Oryzias latipes: one gene and its partner. The main gene of each other region encodes a partner of the protein of the gene in region 2 in a complex. Links are inferred from orthologs where the notes say so. Each region holds a gene or a part of one and is shown on either strand. Other genes may lie near its edges.

Region 1 (12,326 bases), on a different chromosome or scaffold from region 2:
CAGTGCAGGCTGCATTCTGCAGCACCGAGGTAAAAAGGTCAAACTTAAGGTCAATATTAAGACTGCATGTGAAAGTAAACATTAATACGTCAAATGCAATAAAAGATTAAAACAGTAAGCATACATTTCTTCATTAGTCTCCATTTAAAATGTGGCACACCGTAAGGAACGCGTTATCTTGTCCTAAAAAGGCTTTTGGGGATTTGAACACATCCAATGTCACACAGAAAGAATAGACCAACAAGCCAGGTGTTATAATGGGCTCTAAAGCTGAAATCATTTTGTTCTGTGGGCTGTAATGTTTGTTTCTTGTGTGATTTTTGCGTTGTTGTTTGGACAGCTCAATATTTCCTCAATGTGACACACAACTGCATTTACTTCCACTTTTATTTTAGTCCAGAAATCTGAACTGATTGTTTGATCAATTAAAAAGTTTCTCTTTGAGTCCTGTGATTTTTTTTTCCAGCAGGGATACAGACTGATTTGAACAGCATGAAATTAATTAAGTAATTTTACACGCAAAAAGCATCCTGTTCTCCAAGATTAAAAGCAGAAGCTCATTTCAGAAACTGGGAAAAATTTTACAACCCTCCCCAAAAATAAAAAACCCACACAAAATGGCTTTTTGAGCAGAAACAATAAACCACAAAGGCCCTTAAAAATTAATATACAGGGGTGTAGCGATTCATTTTTACAATTCGATTCCTATCATAATTTGAAGTTGTCTCTATGATTCATATCGATATTGGTTTTATGTGAGCAATCAGATTCGCTGACCTAAAACGGATCCACAACGTCCTCAGCCAAGAATTCAACCGGCGTCACTCAGAATACCTGGGTGCTGAAAAGTGCAGGTGAATTTTTCCAGATTCCTTGTGTTTCTTGCAAGACAATCTAGTGTCAATTAAATTTGTGTACAAACAAATAAATTAACGAGAATGAATATCAAATCCATTCACCTTTTAGTGTCCTGAAAGTTCAGCCCACTGTTCTTTTTCCACATCAAAATAATACTAACAGAACATTATTAGAACATTCTACCACACTGTCTGTTCACATGTCTTTGAAGAATTCCAACTTTCCACACTGGAATGATGGACAGGTTTTACTGCCATTACATGGTAAAATAAAACTACTGTGCCTCCTTCCAAATAATAGTTTCCAATATTGATTAAAATCAATTCATTTCATTTTGTAACAATTTTTTATAGGTCGATTTGACCTACTTGCCTCAGACAGATGGATCTGGTTGGATTATAGGAATATAAATCAATTCACCCATTCAGTCGATACATTGTTACACCCTAAAATCAAGGAGTTAAAAGGGCATACATAACCTATATAACATCTGAGAGGAATGTGGATAAGTGTGATGAAGATGAGATCCTTATAGTAACATCAAAACCAAACCCTAAGAAGAACCATAAAAGAATAGAATAGAATAATAGACAATTGTCAGAGTTTTGCTCAAATAAATAATTTGTTTTATTAGAAAACAATGATTAAAAAATGATTAGTTTAAAAACAATCAGGTTTAAACCTACAGTAGTATATACTTTTTAAAGTTGTTTTCAGATATGAAACATGTCATGTTCTCAGTCCTGCACACATACATCAGATCACTGCTTTAGTTAAAGTACCAGCAGAAAAGGTGAGACACTGCACCATGCAGAAGCTTCATTCTGTGTGCATTTTTCTTTTTTTTTCGGTGAAAACACATCAAACAAAACGCTTTCATCTCAACCATAAACAATATTACTTAACTAATAATAAAGCAATAATAGTAAAATTCATATAGATTTCACAAAAGCACAAATCAAATTAAAACATAAAACAAATTTAAAGTAAAGAAAAATATTCCAAAAAGGAGTCACAGTTTGAAATGTAAATGTGGATGTAAGGTAATAATAAGCTATACCCTCCTTTAAGACTAGCACAATATAAACAGGATTATACACTATTTTCTCGTTTAAAAAAAAAAAAAAAAAAGAACGTTTTAATTTGAAGAGTTCCCCCCATTTTTAACACTGTTTAACAACAAGTGGCTGTAAGCATAATGATATGTAAAACCACACCTTTATACATATAAGTCACAGGATAACCACCAGACATCTGCAGGGTCTGGAGACCAAACAGACAGGTAACCTGCTCAAATTCTCAAGAATAAAAACAACACTTTGCATGGCATTATATGAAAAGAAACACACACACACACACACACACACACATGCAAAATCCAGTCCATTTGTGGTAGCTAGAAGGCTCCAGGGACAGAAGGGCAGGTGTAGTGGGTGGCGTCAGTCCTCTCATGATGTTCTGTTCTGTAGAGAGCTCATTCTGATCCCAGTGAGGTTGGCTACTTCTGCATCCTGCATCTCCACCTGTTGCTGGCAGCTCTCTCTGATGAGGTACACTAGAAGACCCACGCAGATGCAAATGAGGAGGACTATGCCTATAACCTGGATGCAAAGACAGCGGAGGTTTAATGTTTGAACAAAGGACGATCACGACATCACCACAACAGGAGCAACTCACCTGAGAAAAGACAAACAGCTGCTGGGAGCGGACCATGAGCTCCTGAGCGGTGACATCCCCCTCTTTAACTGGCTCGCACCACTTCTGTGGAGCTGCCTTGTCAACAAGCACATATCTGCCCTCCCAGTCTGTCATAGCACACGCAAAGTATTGACCGTCCAGGAACAGCAGGATGAGCCACACGACTGCCGGAACAAAGCTGGAGAGGGAAATGGTCTTTCTGCACCAGACAGCACACCTGCATCCCTGAATGATCAGCATCAAGGTGAAGGCCATGACGGCAGGAATGATGAAGAATGCGGATGAAAAAGCTCCGTTCCACGCAGGTCTGCAAGGACACTCAAACTCCAGCTCCACCAGCTTCTCTAGTCCCATGAGGATGAAGCCAAAAGCCACATTTGACACCAGAGGACTGTTGCTAAGTTCATTTTTCAGCCTGGCAAGCCATTGTTGTCTACTTTCCATACTAGATTGACCAAAGAATGGAGGCAAACACTGTAAAAAACCCAAATGGGGGTCCAGCGTTGTGAACACATTGGCAACAGCTAAGTGATGCGTACTTAACGCATCCAGGGGTAAGTTTTCCCCTCAGGCAAAATGCCACACTTCAACTCTGATTGGGTTCGAACAAAGGAGGGTGTGCCGACTGTGCTGACATTTCTCCAGCTGATTGGCTTGTGTGAGGTTTCAGGTGGGGGTTACATTTCAAATGTGATGTGCTGTGAACAAACTGGAGGGCGGGCTGTAAAGTGGAGGGAACTTTACTCTGCAGCTGAGCAAAGGCGGACACTAACAGCCCAAAGAAAGATTTCATGCGTTTTTATATTCTCCAGAGCTGCAACTTTCTTGTTATTTTAAGGAATTAGACTTTTAAGAGAAACATAAGCTTCTAATTTTTTCAAAAACAATTTTTTATTTAAAAAAGTATTTTGGAAACTGTGTTTTAAACATGAAACAGAAGTCTTCTGTACCTTTTCGTATATTTCTTCAAAGTAAGACTTTGGCAAAAGTGAAAAATGACACATGCTCGGGCTTTACCCAAATGGGCCGCATGAGGGCGCACACGGAGCAGCGCAGATTAAGGGCAGGAGGGGATTATGGGAGGCCATGTTGAACTTTCAAGGGGGGATGTGGCACATGCAGTCTGAGAGCACCCGGGCCACTGATGAGATGACATAATTTATAAATGACCTTAGTGCGCTCAAGAGCATCCGCATCCTGGCAGAGAAAGATGGTAAATTATAAGGAAAGCAAGAAACAGATTAAAAAAATGATGCAGCCTGTAATAATAGGGACAGAACAGGTAGTTTATCGTTGTTTTTCTGTTTTAAAATTACACCACTCCTATTGTGAATTTTTGAAAAGCTGTATAGTTTCATACAGTTTTAATTTTCCATAAATCTGACAGACTAAGGCTGCTCCAAGTGGTAAACTGATACATTTTTAAAATTACAATACCAATTGATGTAATTTCTTGCTAAAATACACACAGACACATATCAAGGGTCGGACGGAGGCTTTATTCTGGTGAGCTGTTGTGCTCATCCTCATCCTCGGCCATGCGCGCACTGGGCAGGCGCGGCTTGTCGTCGCTCCCGTTGGTGTCCTACCAGCATCTGTTCCTCCTTTGGTATTAAAAATAGACCGCTGCTGATAACAGACTTATGTTTCGGCTACATCACTTGCCGGCGGGAGTCATTTGTGCACTACTTTCATTTTAATCACCGAACCGTGACCGTGGGAGCGTAAATGCGCATCCGTGCGCGCATCTCGGAATCTTTTCAATCCCACCGTGGACAATCCCCTTGACATCCAAAGACCCTTCCTCCGCAATCCGACGAGGCTTCTTCGCCACCTATGGCCGCAAATCGGCTTCCATGAGCCGCCGGCCTCCTCCCGAACTGCTTTCCTTTAAGGTTTTAAAATCGAGGAGGCATTTCTACTGGATTTTTTTGTATTTTCTAAACCATCTGCGCGGACTCATTTGAAAGCTATGCTTGGCACATCTCTCTAGATCTTGTGATCAATAGCCTCCGCGGTATCTCCTCCCACATTCGTCCTGCCGAGGAGCTGCGTCTCCCGCGGAGCTCCAGCGATGCAGCCGAACGCAGTGATGCTGGCGGTGGTCCTTCTGGGGAACTTGATGCTGCCTTTCGCCTCGTCCCAGAACGGTAAGGACGCAGATCTGGCGCAATTGTTACTGTTGCTGAAAGTGGCTTGTAGGAGGAGTAAAAGATTGACAAGGCTTTTTTTTAGGGGAATTTTTGCATCTCAACAGAGATAACCCAAGAGTTAGTATCCCTTTATCACTGAAAAGGGTTGGGTTCATGCTTGAAGAATGATCTGGCAGGTGGACAACAGCCAGGCGTTCTTCTTGGGACAAATCTGGACTTTGTGGGTTTTGTAGTAATACGTGCACATTTTCCCAAAATGAAATAGAAGTATGCCATTATTTTCAGTCAAAATAAAACAAAAAATACCTCTGTTTACTTAGAAAGTCGCTCATTCTTCCATATTTTTTGCAAATTAGGCCATTTGTTACCAAAACAAATCAAGGCTGCACATATGCTGGATGTTAAAGATGTGTGCATTTCCAAAGTTCACCATCAGTTGATCATAATAAAAGTGGATAATTTCAGTTTAAGGAAATGTCAGGGCTGGCTGCTGGCTGTCCTCTGATACAGCATGTCCCGACATGAAATTAGTTTAACCAGCCAGGTCAACAGCCTTTCTAATTTTATGCCTTTTCTGAGAGAATTTCTTGCATTTCGAATTCAAAGTTTTTCTTTACCGTTTTTGACAATGCAATTACTGACTTTTTGTAAAGGAGCTGCCCACACGTCAAAACCCACATGTTAACTAAACAGTGTCACTGAGTTAGTCTAATCCTCTTTCACAGGAAAAAAAAAATTAGGAAAAAAAACTTGGAATCTGACAGCTTAATGCCCACTCTGTCCTTTCTGTGTGGGATAAATGGACTCCCACTATGAACGACTTAATGAGATCTGTGTTTTCATGATAGGTTGAGAAAAATTCAAGTGTAGTGCCTCGTGCGGATTTACGTTTCCAGCTGATATAAATGCCTCCTGCCGATTACAGCACTTTTTTGGTCAAACAAAGTATTCTAACATTGCAGAGACAATCACGATGAAACAATCACTTTCCATTAAATCAGAAAGAAATGCTCCATCTCCAGCTGGTGGAGAGACAAACAAACTAACACTTCACAGCAGTTATATAAACAAGTACTTCTTGTAGCTGTTTGCATCTTTGTTGGTAATTTCTCTATAGTGTGCTTTCACATACTGTTTCTTTGCTGTTTTGAAAAATTTAATGTCAAATTGGCTCTGCATTGGTTATAAAGCTCAAGCAAACACTTCTAGTGGTCCTTGGCCAGGATTAATGTCCTGTCCCTGAGGGCCAGTTCTCACAACAGACACACACACATACTCATAAGCCCATTGTGTGGTCACTGAGAAGCAGTCTGGTGCTACCCAGTCACACAATCTGCAACCATTTCATCAACCATTGTCAGTCTGCTAATGTACGCTTCATTAATTGCAGCTCTGAAACGAGGGGTAACAGTGTTTAGGGCTGAGCTTTCTTCCAATCGCATCCAAAAGCCAGAATAACTGCTGCATCCCATCTTATGCAATGCTCGATTTCCCAGAGATATGGCGGGGATGTGGGGACAAAAATAATTATAAGTGCATGAGATTTAATCACTGTCTCCGAAGCCGAGGGAATCTGTGTCATCCCTTCCTCTTGTTCCGGAAAAGTAGGGACACCATAGGTGGCCAGTTGAGCAAGAGATATTTGGAGGACTGTGAATTGCATCCGTTCCATTCTGCAGGGTTTCTATTTTTACCACAGAGATGGAGAAGTGAGAACTGTGGCTTTAAGGTCCTTTTGTGAAAGTGAATCCATTAACTCTTAATAGCCGGCCTCCTTGTGCACAGCTGTGCAGCCCCCCAAGAATCACTGGGTGGTTGTAAACTGTTCAAATTGAGACATAATGTGATGTTAAAAGAAAATAAAGCTTGTTGAGGAGATGGTCAGAGCTGACCTGGACCATTACCTTTGGGACTCACATTACTTCCTCCTGTTAAGCATGTTGCCTTCTGTTTGTTTTTTTTGTCCCTCTCTGCATATATAAGCATGCGTTAAAAAAGTAAATGTGCGATTTTTTATCGCCACAAGCCCCATATCCAGCTATATTTTTATCAAACATGTTTACAGCAAGGTCAACATGAATATATTTGGAGTAAGGCCGATACTCGATTTGACTGCTGTCACAAACAAAACAAACTAAAACAGCTAAAAACTGCAGGTTTGACTGTGTTAACTCATCTCAGTGACCAAGTTAAAGTCCCATTCCGATCATCTTTTGATCAATTTTCAAAGCATTCCCAGTGGACTTTTAATTATAGAGCAGAATACCTGTGTTGTTTTCTTGGACATAGTTTCTGCAGAGCGGCAGAGGTTCATTTGAGATTCGGCTCTGAGTTGTGGGTGGGACCCTTGTTGTGGAGTAAGTCTGGTCCATATCCTATAATCCATCTGTTTACACACTCTCCCATTAGCTTACAGCCCTTCACAACCTCAACCTATCATCAGCTTTGTACTAAAATGGCAAGCAATTTTGGAGCTATCCAGCTGTACAGTTTGGAGCCAGATGCCAGCTCAGAAGAGGAAAACAAAGATGTGCATGGATCTATTTATCTTCAGTGCATTGGCATGGAGCGGAGCAGGGAGCTAGTGGCTTGGTGTTGTAGGCTTCTGCAACACACCTTCAAGCCTTTTCAAACAGTATTTTTTTGTCTGCTCCTGATTCACAATGATTTGAATAAAGAAATATTTAGGAAAGCAATTTTAGACTTGCTCCATCAAAAGAAAATGCCACAAGAAAATGTTAAAAAAAATACCATTTTCGTTGGAGTGGGTCTTTAATGTAAAGACCAAAGAAGAAGTCTCTGTAATTTAATTAATCTTTGTCAGAATCATACATCAGAAAATGTTTAGGTTGTAAAAAAGATCTGCAGAATGAATTAACCTAAATTGAATTAATTACCATTACAGTTTATTTTTTTATTATTTTAATTGAACAGCTTCTTGAAAGTTAATTTTAACAGAACTTAAAACTGGTTCAGTGTGAACATAGACAGAAACCAATATCACAGTGTAAAAAAACAACTCTTTGCTGCCATGTCTAAACCAGTCCCCAAGCCTGGTACAGCAGAACGGCCATTATCATGTTTCAGGCAGGCTCGGACAAAGGTTCATTTGCGAGTCTGGAAAATAAACGTCAGAACTTGAGCCAAACTCTTACACTGAGTCATGCTTGCCCACTGTGAAATCTAATATGGCCTTCTCTGATTAGAAGCAGGATGGAAATCACTGCAGAGATATTTCATACTGATGCAGAAAGAAGGTCTAAACATTGATCGATTTTAATAGAGATTATATTATTTTTTTGGAAGGGAGGGGCTGTTTTTATACGTTTTTTCAGGGTACAACTTTTTAACAGATGACTTTAAATACGTACTATTTCCTTTGCATTTTTAATAGATTGAATGAATTATTGAATTTTGGCCCTTAAAGAATATAGTTACAAAATTTTGTATTTTCCTCTAAAATGATAAAGTTAAATTTAGCATAATGTTAAGGAATAATCGTTATCGCTTCTTCGTTGTGTGATAAATCACACTTTTTAATTTTTCTGTTGTTTCTATAGACTTCTCAGGTAAGAAACATTTCTCAGGCCTCAGCTTCATCTGAAGAACCACACACTGACCTAGAAAAGAGTAATAGAAAGTGTTTGCTGGTGTGATTAAAAGATGGGATTAGACAATTTCTAGCCCACACAGGGGTTATTGGGATTTAAATCTAATTTGCTCTACTCATCTGAGGAACAGGCAAAAATATTACCAGCAAAATAAAGCTGGTGACTTTAATGCCCCTCTCCTCTTAAAAACGGACCTTTTTATACTGTCTTATGCAGTGACATGTTTTGGATTTACCTAAGCCTTGATTAAAAGCAGGAAAAACCTAACTATAGACATGTTAAGGATTTGTGGATGTACGAATTAGTCATTGCAAAACTAATCATTGATTTTTCTAGATCAGGAGTTTGAATAAATTAGATATTTTTCTATTTTTGCTTCAATGAAATTCTGAAAAGACAAACCTAAGCTCTGGTAAAACCATGAGAAAAAATGTTTATCTTGAATTTTTGGGTAAAGAATTACGAGATCTCCATACTCATCAGAAAAAGAAAAACCTTGAGACTCAGAAAAGTCTGTACTTGAATTGTAAATGTCACCACAGCAGATGCAAGGCAGCAACAACAGTTGTCTTCCTCAATAGTATTAATGTGCAAAGAGAAAATAAACTATGGGCAACTATAGGAATGGGATTAAATACATTTTTTTCGTCCGACTGCCTTTCAAGCAACAATCAAACTCCACTTGACATATGATGAAATTTAGAGAATCGTATGTAGCGTTTATGCATTACTGCAAAAATGTCTATTCATGGTAAAGAAGACTGTCATCTTCTTCCATCTTTGTTAATTTTTCTTTATTTTCTTTAATTAAATGTATTACATAATATCCGAAAATAGTTTAAAATAATCCATGTTTTGTATTTTTTTATTGTGTGATTCTGTTATTTTCAATGCTTAAAGTTAACCTATAAATCGAATCAAATCAAATTATGTATGTCAACAGGAGTGCTGTTTAAACTCAACACGTGCCAACCAAGTGAAATGAAAGTAGCAAAGATAACAATTACTACATTACTGGAAAGGTACAACATAGTGGCTGCAATTAGACGGCTGGAGAAACTGATTAACATCCCCCTTTCAACATCAACTACTGTTTAAAGAGCTTTTATTGTTAACCCTTGTGCTATCCTAGGCACTTTAACATTGGGAGTTGGGTCATCTAGACCCACTAGACAGTGCTCTGAACCCTTTTTCTTCAATGATTTGTGATCTTCACTGGTGTCCATGGATTACATGAAATCTTTCCACCTTTATCCACCTTAGTCATGGTAGGAAGAACACGTCAATGTAAGGGTGGGGTCATCTAAGATAGCACAAGGGTTAGAATGAACATCCTGCAGCCGAAAATGTAGAAAATGCAGACATGGCCAAAGCCCATTGTGCTGGTACTAAGTCCGGATAAATGCAGAGAGATGTATCAAGAAGGGCATCCGACGTATAATCTTTGCCAAACCAAAAATGCAAATCAGACCTATGTAAAGCTGATTTGCTGTGGTGACCCCTGAAGGGAAAATCCAAAAGGCTAAGAAGATCCTGCAGCAAACCTAAGAGGTTTATTAGAGGAAAATGAGTTCACAAAAATCTCCATTGTCTTTTGTGGAATTTGTTCAGGTCAAATTCAAATCATCATGATGAAATTATGTGGTTTTATTCAGGTTTTTGTTAATACCGGATGTTTGATGTGTATAATGTGCACATTTCTAGTAACATTCAAGTCTCTGGATAAAGCTGATTTCTTTCACTTTTACTGAACAGGAAACTTAACTCTTTTATTCAGGGTTAAAGATGTAAAAAAGCTGGTGTATGGTTGTTATCGGAAAAAAGAATGTTGATTTCTTTAACCTGCTTTCTCCTTCTGGGTGTCTTAGAAGGGCACAGGTGTTTAACAAAGAAAAGGAGCTGCTGGATGAGACAGGATGCGGGCTAGGTGGAGCCGTACAGACGTGTCCTTATTATATCAGTACATTTTAAATGAAGAAAAGAGGTCCACAGAGAAATCCCCATAAGTCACATCACACCTTTTTTTTTTATTCATGCAGCTTTGTTTTCGTGACCTCTTTTATTGGATGTTTCAGTGAGATGGCACTGTTGTGAGACACACCTTTTCACCCGAAGAGGCAATTTTAAAGACCCATTGTAATGAGTGCTTTTGGGTGTTTTTAACATGTTCTTCTGGCATTTTTCTGATGATGGAGGACATATATAGAGAAAATTAATTTTATCATTGCATTTCTGTGTGTTTCTTTATTCAAATCGCTGTGAATCAAGAGCAGACATTGGACAAAGCTTGTAGGTGTGATGGACAAGTTACTACCATTCTGATGCATCTTTTTGTTCACCAGTAATGTTTGGGATTGTGAGGAGCTGTAAGATAGTGGATGAAGTAGGCGGACTTACTCCATGCCAACAGTCCTGCTCAATACTCAGAGGCGAATTTGTAATGAATTTCCTGCTGTCCTGCAGAAACAATGTCCTAGAAAACAGTACAGGTGTTTTATAGTTGGCTAAAAAATGGCATAATCGTAATAAAATACCACTGGGAACGCTTTTAGAATAGATCAAAAGATAATCGGGACTTTAAGGATGTTTATGAGGTGCTATACATTTCTCCTAGTTTTACGTTCTTGACTAAGTTTGTTTCACTGCATAAAGTTTTTATAAAACCAAGATATCTTTTTTCTAAAGTAAGATGAAAATAGAAATCACATTAGTAATCGGTTCCACAGTTGATGATTTCCAGAAATCAGGTTTTGTGAATGCAACTAGTTCCTAGTTCTAGAAACCTAGTGTGGCCATGTAAACTCCTGAGCTTGCTAAACTAGGTGTTGCTTACTCAGTGCTACAACTAACTGTCACTGAGCCATTGAAGCCAGTGAAAAACATAAGCCATTAAAAATAATGGTTTCCAGAGCACAGCTTTGCAGATACTTCTGCCTGCAGTACCACACAAGCCTGCCTGCTGTGGGCCTGCAGCTTTGGACACCTAATGACACTTGAGCCTTCACATTGACAATAATCAAACTTGTCTGCTCATATGTTACAAAGGGACATGCAAACTGCAGCAAGCACTTTAAGGAGACAAAATGAAGTCGCCTTTCAGCTTTTTTTTTCATTCCTTCTTGCTAGAATCTGGAGTGGTACCTATTTTTGGCTCAACATCTTGTCATGATTTTAATGCATAATGAGAGCTATATTAAGTGGAGTCTATAGTGCTAAACCTTACATTTTATTTCGAAACTTCACTTATTGAATGAGATGCACTTTATTAAAAAAAGCATCTTAGTGCTCTGCAAACACTAAACAGTTATATGTTAATAAACGCGGGGTTTGACTGAGGATGGGTTTAAATCAATGATTTGATTGAATAGACTTAAAAGATGACTATAGTCTGAATTTTATGGAACGTTTTTCTTCATTGTCACTACTTGCCAAAAAAACAGCTAAATTGGTCATTTTAAAAGAAGACTGAACAGTTTGGACGATTTTTAACAATTTTATTAATTCAAGTTCAACAGTTAAGCCCACAATTCTGGCTGCTCAGCAGAAACTATGTCCTAGAAAATGACAGGTTTTTTTTTTGTGGCTAAAAACAGCGTATTCAAAATAGGACCACAGGAACACTTTGAAAATATATCAATTGATGATCAGAGTGGGACTTAAATGGACAAATTCTATTTTATCTAACATATACATGTGGTAAGAATACGACAAAATAATGCTTGAGTTGATATTCTGTTTTCTTTTCTCTGCCATTTGCCCAAACAATAAAATGTGCATACAGTTAAATAGGGGGGCATTTACTCGTCATTGGCAGTAGCAGAGACTTGTGTTGGTCAGGGAGATTTTCTGAAACTACACCACCTTTGGCACTCTTCTAATCTTGTTAACACGGATACTGTTTCCGAGTACGTCTGACCTTATGATCCTTTAGAGTGACAGCAGATCCAACGGACGTCTGTAAGCACCAAGAAACTCAGGATCACATTCTTAGAAATCAATTGTTTGA
Region 2 (12,519 bases):
AAAATAGCAGGGGAGAGTGTAAACAACTGAATGATAGGATATCAACGGAAGCTTACTTCCGCAGCAGCTGTCCCCCCATGACAGATCACTGGGAACACTTTTATAAAATATAAATAAAAATGATTAGAGTGGGACTTTAAATGTTACAATTTACCAATTAAAATATAAATATACTCACAAATAATAATAATAATACACACTAAACAGAATAATATGAAATGTATGACTTTGTGTTGAATTTGCCCATAAATGGGCACGTCATGTGGTTAATATGCTAAATAAATAAAAAATGACTGTAGACAAGTTTCTTATATCATAAGAGAAAGTTACAAACTCATTCATTTTAAGTTCTTAAATGAAAACTGTCCCAAAACATGCTTAGAAAGGAAATTTGAAAATTTAAATCATAATTTGTGTTAAAAACATAAATAGAATCAATTCAGTTTTCTGGATGTAATAAGCCCTTGTGAACAAACCCTGACAAATTCACGTCTGCATCATCTTTTCGGTGTTCTCTCCATCCATTTCTAATCTTTGCATCCTCCTCACTCTCACCAACTGCACGTATGTCCTCCTTCACTACATCCATTAACTCCTCTTTGGTCTTTCTCTAGGCCTCCTTCCTGGAAGCTAGCTAACTGATCTTAGAGATGTGACCACGAGGTGACAAAGCTATACTGACCTAACAAAGCATTGCAACACTACACATATATATACACAACTATCATAACTATACAATACAGTTCATTTTAGTAAAGTTTAATCAACACTTGAGTATCTCCAAGTGCCTAACCATGGACTATAACGATGTTAGTAATGACACTGCAGAGAAAGTGGTTATTGCCTATTAATTTGGCAAGAATTATGAGCCCATTTCCAAACAGTATTGTCTGTAATCCTCCAGAGATAAACTTTAACGAAGCTGCCAATCTACTCGAAAGAAATTAACTGTGCATAACTGCAACTGGGTAAAAAAAGCATTTAAAAATTTAAAAACTTCATCAGAACACCTCTCAGTCTTATCTTTAACGATGGTTAAACATACACATAGCATTTTTTTTTTGGCACTCTTAGTTACAAACAGAGAAACCCACAATAGTTACAGAAAGTAATCCATAAGAATGTAGTTTCATATTAGATTTTCCAATACTGAATTTGTAATCATTTCAAACCTGTGATTGCACCTTGCAAAAAAGGCCTGTTTATAAAGCATTGACAAGTAATTTTGGAAATTAGAGAAACTTTTTGATATGCGTTAAAGTTAAAGTCCCATTACTTATCTCGCACTTAGGTGCATTTAACTCCTCTCCCTGGGGGAGCGGTGAGCAGCAGACGGAGCCGCGCTCTGAAACCATTTGGGGGTTTATCCTCCCAATCCAACCCCTTTATGCTGAGTGTCACACAGGGAGGTACTGGCTCCCATTTTTCAGAGTGTTTGGTATGACTCAGTCTGAATATGAACTCACGACCTTCCAGCCTCACAGCTGGACACTACTACAAGGTCATTGAACTGGTCTGTGGCACGTTCATCTCATAAACTGCAGCATTAAAGGTGATGATCCACACTAGCAAATGAACTAAAGCATGAGACTAAATGTCATTCAAGTGGGATTAAATTTACTGCATTTTGCATTCTTAAAAGGCCATTCAGTTTTGCCTAGTTATGATTCAGTAATGTAATTAATTAAATAGTGAAATAACCCGTTTTTTTTACACTTATTTTGAATTGGTGCTGTACCTAAACAATGGTATAAAGACCCACTCAGATGAAAATATTGTTTTTGGTGTTTTTAACATGTTCTTGTGGCATTTCTCTGATGATGGAGGAAATATATAAAGAAATGTAAGCGTAAATTTGCAATTATGAGTATTTCCATATATGAATCATGGTGAATTGGGACTAGACAAAAAATGCAATTGAAAAAAAGTTTGTAGCTGTGATGTAGGTGCTATACTCAGTGGGCCACAGTCTTCCTGCTCTGCTCCATTCTGATGCACCCACTTGAGGACGACTAGATCCATTTATGTCTTTGTTTTCAATGTCTGAGCTGGCATTTGGCTCAAAACTGTACAGCTAGATAGCTCATATATTGCTCACCCTTTTTGTTGCACTGGTAATGATAGGTTGGGGTTGTGAGGGGCTGTTAGCTAGGGGGAGAGCATGTAAACAGAGGGATGATGGGAAAATTTCGCCAATCCAAGAGTTCCGCCCACAAGTTAGACGGACTTTTAATGTATAAGGGCCCGTTCACACCGGGACGAATTTCGCCGGCGATTTTCGCCGACGTTTAACGCCTCGTGACTAAACAAAGGGCACCAATGAGAGTGTGCACACCGACGCGAAAAAACGCCACGCGTCAAAAAAAAAAAAAAACGCCTCGGGTTTGTTTTTTTTTTTTGACGCCTCGCGTCGAAATCTATTCGACCAATGAGAATGGCGCTTTTGCACACAAGTCTGGAGCTTCTGAAGTTACAGTAAAACACAACTTGGGGGCCCTCAAACACAAAACTGCCTTGCTGAGCACACATACCAGCGAAGAAGATAGACGCCAAGTAGCGTCTACACTGCCGCGAAGAAATAATGACGGGCATTCTAAAATATCCCCGAACCAAGCACCAGTTGGAGCTACTGGTGCTTGAAATATTCATGTTTTCTTTGTTTGATTCTGACAAGCGCGTAAATACTTGCTCTCTTCTTCTGAGTGAAAAGCGACTTTAAGAAGCGTAAAGTTGCGCAGCGCCACCTTGTGTACAGGAGTATTTCTGTTTACATTAAGCGCCATCTAATGTCAGGGAATGAAATTGCATGTTCGCTCGGCTCATCGTCAGCGAAAATCGCCTGGGCGTGAACACAAAAAACGTGGCGAAAAACGCTGGCGAATAACGCCTGGCGAATATTCGTCCCGGTGTGTACGGGCCTTTACTGCTGCTCTCCACAGAAACGATGTCCTAGAAATAACAGGTTTTTTTATTTTGGCTAAAAATTCCATAATCATAAATAATAGACCACTGGGAACTGTGGTCTAAAGATGGTTGGAGTGAGACTTTAAAGGGTTTAAATGTCTTTAACAGCTAATGTGTTTGAAAATATCAGCATATTCAATATTTGCAAAGATCAATGCAAGATATTACAATTCATACATTATTTGTTGTTGTACGTGTTAACTCTATGTTTATCATCTTAAAATCAAAAAAAAAAAAACAGGAGCAAAATGATAACACAAAAATTTAGTTTTCAGAAAGTTCAAGCATTACTAAATAAATTGGTATATGTGAGGTTTGCTGTGGCTGAACATCATCTAGATCAAGTATGCTGTGTTTACTAGACGACTGACACTGGCAAAATGATTACCGCAAGTATTAAAATGTGGTATTGAGTTAAAAAAAATGTCTTTCAATACCTGACAGTATTCCAGCATTTTGGTTGGTGCTTAAAAATGAACAAGCTTGATATCCAGCCTAATTTCTCTGAGTTTCACACGAAAACACTTCTGGCAAGGACTGATAGTCAGTTCAGAGAGATTAACTTGGAATGTAGACACTCAGGGTTGTCAATGTTTGAGTTTCTTGCAGGACAATTTGTGCACAAAATGAATATAGGGTAAAAAAGAAATTTAGCAAATAACATTTCACCCTGCATGCAATAAAAACATTTTCATTCTAAATCATATCACTGCATTCGACAGACATCCTTTTAATGGGAATGTTACTCTTTAATCTGAAGTACAAAGATACAGCTTATGATACTAAATCCAATTCTTTGAGGTCACCTATCTCTAGTTCTTCTGTTAAAAACCTCCCTTAAATACACTCTCTAACCTGCAAGTTGCAACACCTAAAAGAAGAAAAGGAAGTGCCAACATTTGCTGTGCAGTGTCAGTTTAAGGTTGGGGAGGTCACATGTCACAACAGTGGAAAATCATTGTGATTGGATCTCCAAGTCAACAGCTGTTGTGTGATATGGTTGAATGACAGTGGGTATAGTTGACCCTTTCCACACTACACACAAAGACACAGCCTTGTAAACATTTAAACAAATTGAACCCGAGAAACGCAAACTTGCAAGTCCCTTTTTCTAACCAGGCAGCACAAGACTAGAATCTAACGTCTGCCACTCAAGAACACCTCCACCCACAGGATGCGGCATAAAAAGTAACCAGAAAAAAACATGCTTCTGACTTTGTGACAGGTCTAAGGAAACCCTTTGGCAATTTGAACACCTCGGTGTGCCAACAGCTCTATACAAGTTGGAGATAGCAATTCTAGGGTTCCCTCTGCCTAATGCAATAGGTGGTATTTTTAGCTTCCCACAGACTGCCTCCACCCCCTGCAGCCTGCCATAGCTGAACTGGGTCAGACCATGTAAATGTGGAGGGTACAAAGGCATAGACACCCAGCCATCTTTATGGACCACAGCTTACTACTACTACTACCATAAGAGCTACTTTGCTTTGCATGATAACCACTACACTATCCTCACAAACCCTGTCAGACTGCCAGGTCATAAGAACTCAGAGGTGTCAAAAAATCTGAGGCGCATTGTCAACACCTTCATCCTGCCTGCAGTTAGTTTTCTTTTCGTGCAAGGAAAAATATCAACAATAATAAAGCAGACGTACCCTTATATAGGCAGTTAACTAGATATGATTAATCTCTTCTATATTTTTCTATACCAGTTCCATAATAGCTTTGACTTTTAAAGATGTCTAAAGACTGCTGAATATGAAATTAAATACAGGCAAACTTATGAAAGTAAAGTGGGAATAATTATGCACAGAAAAACTAGAGTTTCAAATTGAGTTGCATTAAAAAATAATTGATCCAATAGGAAGGTGAATGAAAAAAAAACATGAATTAAAAAGTCCCTTTAAAAACTGATTAGGCTCACTATCATAAATGATCAATGTTCTTTTTTTCCAAGTTAGGATTTTAAATGATCATATACCCTTACTACTACCATCACAACTGCTTAATTCCACAAAAGGTTATAGGTAACTGAATACTAAACTATATTTTTATTGCAATAACGTTTGAAAAGATTAGAAGAAATGGGGGATCCCCCCACATACACTGAGAAACACAGCAGTACATTACAACTGCTTGGAATACCGGTAACTGTAAAGGAATAACACTTACAGTCACAGAATAAGAGAACAAAAAAAACCTTCTTGAGTACATGAGATCACATCATGGTACAACAACAGATCACATTTAGCTTTTGGTGTTAGTTTACATATGACTTGCTGTTAGCTTAGACCTACTCTGACCACGTTCTCAGAATAAGGCTGCATGCTGTCCCCTTCTTTTAAAAAAAGAACAGACTGGTGGATATAATCTTGACATTGGGGTATTGTTAACAGTTTGAACAGATGCTGAAGAGCAGGGCACTGCAATAAAAAAAAACGTGTCAACTCTCCTCCCATCTCAAGAGCAAGTTCCCCTAACAGCTGCTAGACAAGAGAGAAGTATGTGATGGAAAGTGAACTCCATAGTCCTCCCCCTAACACCCCCCTAAATAACGACTGCTCTGTGACTTCTCAAAACCTTCCTGCAATGACAATCAACAGACAAAATGATGGATTAGCAGAAAACCCATGTAGCCGCGAAAATATAAAAAGGTTAAATAATTTTCACGAGGAATATTAACATCAAACCGTCTGCTAATATTTTTAACATTTAATCTCGCTTTCTTAATTGAGTCAATTATCGAGTTGACTAAAAATAAAGTATTTTGCAGCAGCATATGGATTTAAACGTAATATCAAACAGAATTTGGATTTTTGTTTTTTTAAAGTCTTTGACATCATGTACTCTGCTGCAACTTATCAATAGCCCAAGAAATTGCTTAGCTGTCATTTCATTGAGTCAAACACACGCAACACAGCACACAAAAACGACTTGCACAGCTTGAATCATTGAATTCCCTTTGGGCTTGTGCCCATTTTTTTTTTTTAACCTTGCTTTTAGATTGGTATGTCTTGGAATGACATACAGGAACACGATTTCCTCCACAAACCCCACGAATACAGGGCTGGTGCTGCCGCGACCCGGTGCTTTTAATTGGATCAAGAGTGATCCCTTGGTCTAAACACCGAAAGGTGCTCTCACATCAACATGATAACCGCTTGCGTGCAAAGCTGTGTTACATGGATAGTAATATAACGAAAGAGTGCCGTTTGAACTATTGTCAATGTCTACTACCACCGATAGAAATATATATATAATATACACATCGAAAAAATAGAGGTACTTCTTAAATGGGTTTGCTTGGATTCCAGTTACCGAATGAAATGTAAACGTAGTCGAAAAACAAAAGCGCCGACTAACTGTCTACGAGTAGATAAATAAAGTTAACGGTAAAAATAACGAACAGAAGAGATGACACGGATGGACGGAGAAAAAAGAAACGACTGTCGTGAAGTACGAGTGGGTGGCGTTGTTAGATTCCCCGGCGCAAGAGGGAATAATAAATGTACTTACTTACACAAAAACATGGTTTTGCGTCCGCCGTTAAGTGACTTACAGCTGAAAGGACTTTCGTTAATAATAATGTGCCTTCACGGCGCTCGGCGAGGCGACAGCCGACCGAGGCGTGGAGTCCCGAGAATATCGTTTCCGACCATTTTTAAGCGTCCCCCCCCGCCTCTGACGTCTATCGCTTGCTATTATCTATAATCGTAGAAAATTAGTTTCCGACGGATTTATGCCATGCAGGTAGACGAGCAACATGGAACTCAAAATTTCCTGTAACATACGGGTAACTCATGGAACGATATGGAGGGCAACGCTTAAAAAAATCATTTAGGGCTAAATGTCAATTTACTAACATTAAAAAAATCGTTCTGTAGTAATAGTATTAATGACCACTGTTAGCCGCCTAGCTCGTGTCCCTTAGCTTACGTTGGGTGTAAAGAGTGGGAAATGAAAAGAGAGGAAAATAAGAAAAACGGCGTATTTCAACAGACTGACAAATCAAACAACTCGTTTTACAACAACAGCAGAAGTTGCCATAAGCACCAGAAAACCATAACTGGGAGCATCCTAAAAGATTAGATACGCTGGTTGGAAAATGGAACGCCTAACGTCAGTATCTTAACCCTAGATATCTCAGTAGCTAGCGCTGTGTTAGCTTGGTGTATGGCAGCTAACAAGGCACAATGCAGCACCGGAGAATGGCCCGCATTGATATCTGCACACGAAAATAAAAAGATTTAACCGGTCAGGGCTGTACATGCAATGTCCAAAATACCTGAAGACGCCACATGTCTAGGAGCGATTCGTCACCCGAACCAGTTAAAATAAATATTCATTGAAAAAAAATACACACATTCATCTAATATATAACAAAAATTACTTACTCCACTCCGAAGAGCAACCCAGGTCCCTCTCTCATTAACTCCCCCTCAGTCTCACCGAAGACTAGACTCTCTCCTCTGGTTTGAGGTGAAATCCCGCCTACTGCGCTGTCACAGTCACAACCAAAGTGTCTTGTCTCTAATGTCAAGATGGTTCCCTCCCAATCACGTTTACGCCGGAAACCCTCAGCTTGAAGTCCGGTCAATTTGCAGAGATAGATGGAAGTGAATTTTCATATATATATATATATATGAAACGCGTTACCTACATATAAATTCATAGAATTACTAATAAAAACACATATTTTTGGCGTTTAATAAAATGAAATAATTTAAATTTAAAAGACAGAAAGATTCAGTCTAAAGCGGAAGTACACCGAGATGTATCATCTTGCCACGCCTACTCTCTTTATGTCGCAACACCTACTGGGACATGTGATGAGCGTCGAATAGAGGATGGGTATGAACCGCTGTTGTGGATTCCCATTGGCCCAGCCAGCATATGAGTCGCCTATGGAAACAGCTACGTCACGATCCCCTCGTATTCCCTCTTCTCTCTCGTGTCGCTTTATAATAACAGGATTACTGAACAGTACTCCCCGTCATGGGATGAAAAGAAAGCATCGAAACATCACTGATCTGCTTCTGCGGTCTGGTTGCGTGATCGCCAAAGCACCACAGCACTTCCCTCAGTGTCCAATCAAGCCCGACGTCATTCTTTCCATGACGTTGCGCGTTTTTTCCCCCCTCTCTGGATTCAATGCCTGCATTATTTGCGATTCTTTAGTACTGTTGAGAGGTCGCGGTTTCTGCAGTCACCCTGTCAGGGGGACAGCAGTGCTTCACTGAACGCAGCATTGAGCAACGATCCAACACATATTAGTGTAGCTAAAAGTATTATCTATGCATCTAAAAAAACTAAACTTCTGCAAGAGCCAGGGGAAACAAATCAATTTATTAACATGCATTTCTTTATCCCAAGGTTAATACCAAATATCCAACAGATTAACCAAACTGATAGGAGATCTTTTCTATTATTTTTTTTTAATCCAAAGAATTGGTAGATGATACACAGAAATCAACTGAGGTCAAACTTTGGTGTAATTTCGTCTGCTTTGACATAATGGGATTTATCATTAACAAAATAGACCAAAGTGCACAAAAAAAGAAGTTTATTTGCAGATTTCCAAACGGGGAAAAAAACAAAATAGTTTATATGCAATTAAAATGTAATTTGTAAAATGTCAAATGACGCACCCAGGAGGAAAAGTTGTGAAAAATAAGAAATTAAAATGACTGGAGGAAAAAAAAATTCTATTGGTTTTGCAAGTTTACTTGTGCAACACGTCAGCCACAGAGTTGAGTGTTTAAGTTACATCTAGTAACTCCCAACTCTACAAAAGAAAGATAAGGCATGGTGGTGGACCACAGTTTTCCAGATAATTTGTGAAGTTTTTTTTCGCTTCGCTTTTGACTGCAGACATAAACTCCTCCTATAGCTGTCTTGTAAGAAGGTTAAAACCCACACATTAGTAATTGGTAGACAATTTTGACTTTGTATACACCTTTACCATTTTATGGCAGAACAGCTCCCCAAAACCTCTAAATTGAGCTGTAACAGTTTACATGCTGAAGTTGTCAGTCACTTGTATAACAAGCCTCCATATGCATCAGAACTCAGAAATGAGAGTGCTTTTTTTCTTTCTTTTTTGCTTCACTATCAGTGGTTTTTGGTGTCTTCCTGTGTGGAGCCTGTGGAGCTTAGCCCAGGCCAACAGTGAGCAGATGTCTCTCTAATATAACACTGGTCAGCCTGCCAATTCATGCATCATTTCTCCTCCTGTATCACTTTTTAAGGAGCACAAAAGCCATGCAGAAAATAAAGAATGTACAGAAAAGCAATTCCTGACCAGACATTTTAGAATTTAAATATGGTATCAAATATGAAGTAGTTATTCCACAAAAAACCAACGCATTAATGTAGTAGTTTTACTCCATTTTTGATTTGAATAATTAGACTTTTGAAAAAAAGTTGAGTTAATTAAAGAGTATACTTAACCTATAATGTGTCTTTAAATTATAGAATATCATCACAAAGCTAGCTGAGTAAGAAATGTTTTCCTGTTTACAGCATTATCTTTTATTGACATAACATTGTTAACATTTTATGATCAACTGTATAATATTTAACTGCAATCCAAAAATGAAACAATGCCATTATATTTCAATCCCCAAACCACAAATTGAAGCTTCACATTTTATTGCAAGCTAAAGTTAAATTAAAATACCAAGAATATTTTTAGTGAAAAATGCGTTTCTCTTGTACTAAATCTGATGATTGCCTATTTTTTTAAAAATTAAAAGAACTTACTCTTTTTGCCCCAGTTTAGAGCCTCGTTAGTCTTGAGTTGTGAATGTCAACTGCCAAATAAATGGAACAGAAATAGCTAAGACCAAATGGATCTATCCAGACGGTGAGGGAGTAATGTCTACAAACTAATAACAGCAGAAGAACTTAAATTATTGTAAGTGAGCACTTGAAAAGTCTGAGATCCTTGTTGAGGTTTCAAATCGCTGACACCAGTCATTTTCCCCTTAGCTCGTCGTCTGAATCTTACTGTTGAGTCAGTTTCTCTGTGGAAATCTGCCAGATGCTCTGGAGCGTCTTGTGAACTAAAGTAAATGTCAAGTGTCATTAGCCTTTGTGTATGCTAATGTGTTGTTCACAAAATCTGAGGGAGCAGAAATGGCGAAGCATGACAAACTCCATGGGGAAAAAAAGGGATGCTACCCATAGGGTAACTTATAAAACACATCCTTATTATTAGTTTTAAAAAAGGCTGTAAGCTTTTAAAACCATAATAGAAATGTGTTTTTTTTTGGCACACAAGACACTGATTGTGTGCATGCATGTTATCCCACCATAGAGCTTTAATTGCAGGGGTAGAGAACTACCCAAGACGGCTTGACAAATAATTGCAGGTTCAGTTGAGAAGTTTCTTACAACTGATGGCTTGAGTGTGTCTGCAGTTCTCATAAGAACTTTGTTGCTCCATCTTCTCTCACTTCTTAATAGTGTAAAGAAATTTGGGCAATTGACAAAGAAAATCCAACAGGAACAGAAAAGGAAAAAACAGATCATCAGTTATTTCCTCAACATTTTTAAAAAACAAACATGGCTGTGATGGAAAAGGCTTAGTGCGCTCTTGGGGATCATGTGTCTCTAGAGAAGAGGCAAGTGGAAAAAGTGAGCATAAAGATGCCGCAGTCAGCTGACAACCACATCCCTATCAGTGAGGACGTGTTGTATGACTATATGGCTTCCTTTGGTCATTGGATTTTTTTCTGTCACTACTTTGCTTTCTGAACAGTCATCAAATTTTCCTCTGGCTCAGCACATTTGTAAGCTTTGACGAGGAACGGTGCATGTCGGGGAGGAGGAGGAAAGCTTCCTCCTTTTAAAGAGGAAAAGGAAAAAAACAATGTTGCAGATTTTCAAGAAAGCTGTTTTTACAATAAAAAATAAAAATATCTACCAGTATTTTACCTGGGTCGTTCAATACGATGAGGGCTGTCCTATAACACTGAACTAGTTTCTCAGACAAGGCAATAATTATATATATCAAATCAGACAAAGATTTATATTAAGGATGGGTCTTGAGCATTATAATAAACCCTTTTAATATGGTGTTAGTCTAACCAAAAATTACAGTAATCACACTTTTCCTCCTGTCCAAACACTGGTTTGTGTCTATTGAAGGAGACCCCAATTATACGATTAACATTCAGACCATGCTGACTGGCAAAACAGCCAGAAACAGACACGAATTACACCTATGGTGCAAGTAGAAAATCTATGAAGTGACCTCCGACATCAGTTGCCCAGACAAAGACTCCTTGTATGAATGAAAGCAGAGAGAGTGGTGGAGGGGAAAGGGGAGGTGGCAGCTAGGAGAGCTCTATCATGGTTGAGCCGCTCCCCTTCGGATCTTGTGCATGTTTGTGTTTCCTACTACCCTGGAATTTACTGCATGGCACTGGTAAGGACAGCCTTGGGGAGGTGAATGGCCTGTAGAATAAAGTTGTTGTGAAAGAAGTGCAAAAAAAAATTGAGACAGGAAAGAGTCAGGAGGAGAAAAAAAGCACACACAAGGAGTTAATGTAAAGCAAGTTAACCCCGAGAAAATAAAAATGGTAAAATGAAAGTTGTGTGTGCATAAAGGCAATGGTTAGCCAATGAGACAGTGGTCTGCCCTGAGCTAGAAGCAGGAAGATTATCTGGCTAAGTTTCCACTTGCAAACAATAATTCAACTCAAGTGTCTGTTGAGGCCATACTTTGTAAGAGCAGTGACCCACCCAGTAAAATATGAGGTGTGTGACAGGAACAGTCTGCATATGGTCATAGAATGCCATGATCATAAACTTGTGAGTGAAGACAAGCCATAAAAGGGTGCTGGTGGGCTGTTTTCCATTCTCTATTTTTATAATCAATACCCCCTGTATTTATGTTAGACGTAGCCTGCAGTGAAGTTGTTTGAAAGTGTATTTCGGCCGGTGAACGTTTTACATAACAAACAGTTTGGCACAAAAATAGTCTTGATTCAATTACCAGCAGAGCCCAGAAACCACCTGAGATTCCACATTTAGACAGTACAATGTGCGCAGGAAGCACTGCCATCTAAAATCCAGTGGGAATTTTATAGGAATACACAAAAAAAACAAATAACACAAAAACATTGTATTGCAACACTTGCTATTTATTTCAGGCTCAAAAACAAGTTTCCAGACTTTATGCATACAGGATAGAAAAGCTGAACAACTGAAGGTTTTGGAACGTGTGACAATGCTCGAGTGCTGAACTGTAACTTTTGAACAAGTAAACTGACTTGCAGAGCTGACTTTGTGCAATTTAGGATCAACAGGCATTAATTAGGAATAGTTTCTGCTGTGTTTTTGCTGTTCAGTTGGGCGTGGAGCACATCAGCTCTATAAATCTGCCTTTTTCCCCCTCAAAGTCTTAGCAGTACCACAAGGGACCAGGCAAAACAATTAAGTGCAGCTTAATTACGGTGCCAGATCAGATTTTTGCTTTGCCCACATAATGTGTGGAGTGCAACAGTGGGACAAAGAACATGTGCCCTTAAGTCTTTGCACAACATTTTC

Evidence for each region.
Region 1: the proteins of atp2b1 (region 2) and neuroplastin are in contact, whole or in part, in a cryo-EM structure (PDB 6A69), measured with the Homo sapiens proteins. The link is inferred for Oryzias latipes from reciprocal best matches to the Homo sapiens genes ATP2B1 and NPTN. Residues at the interface, in NP_001353449.1 of Homo sapiens: Phe954, Asp955, Ile956, Asp957, Glu996, Arg997, Asn998, Val999, Glu1039, Gln1040, Leu1042, Trp1043, Ile1045, Phe1046, Met1049, Gly1050, Leu1052, Leu1053, Gln1056; in NP_036560.1 of Homo sapiens: Arg245, Ser246, Asn248, Arg332, Arg334, Pro339, Pro342, Phe343, Gly345, Ile346, Glu349, Ile350, Ile352, Leu353, Ile356, Ile357, Tyr360.

Annotation. Positions count from the first base shown.
Region 1 is NC_019861.2:28,365,047-28,377,372, forward strand, and holds the start of neuroplastin, read left to right. Parts: upstream 1-4,086; 5' UTR 4,087-4,630; coding exon 4,631-4,706; intron 4,707-12,326. Other genes in the region: calcium homeostasis modulator protein 6, read right to left, coding at 2,307-2,459, 2,536-3,000. UniProt on the Homo sapiens protein: Probable homophilic and heterophilic cell adhesion molecule involved in long term potentiation at hippocampal excitatory synapses through activation of p38MAPK. May also regulate neurite outgrowth by activating the FGFR1 signaling pathway.
Region 2 is NC_019881.2:15,512,143-15,524,661, forward strand, and holds the start of atp2b1 (plasma membrane calcium-transporting ATPase 1), read right to left. Parts: upstream 7,491-12,519; 5' UTR 7,359-7,490; intron 1-7,358. UniProt on the Homo sapiens protein: Catalyzes the hydrolysis of ATP coupled with the transport of calcium from the cytoplasm to the extracellular space thereby maintaining intracellular calcium homeostasis.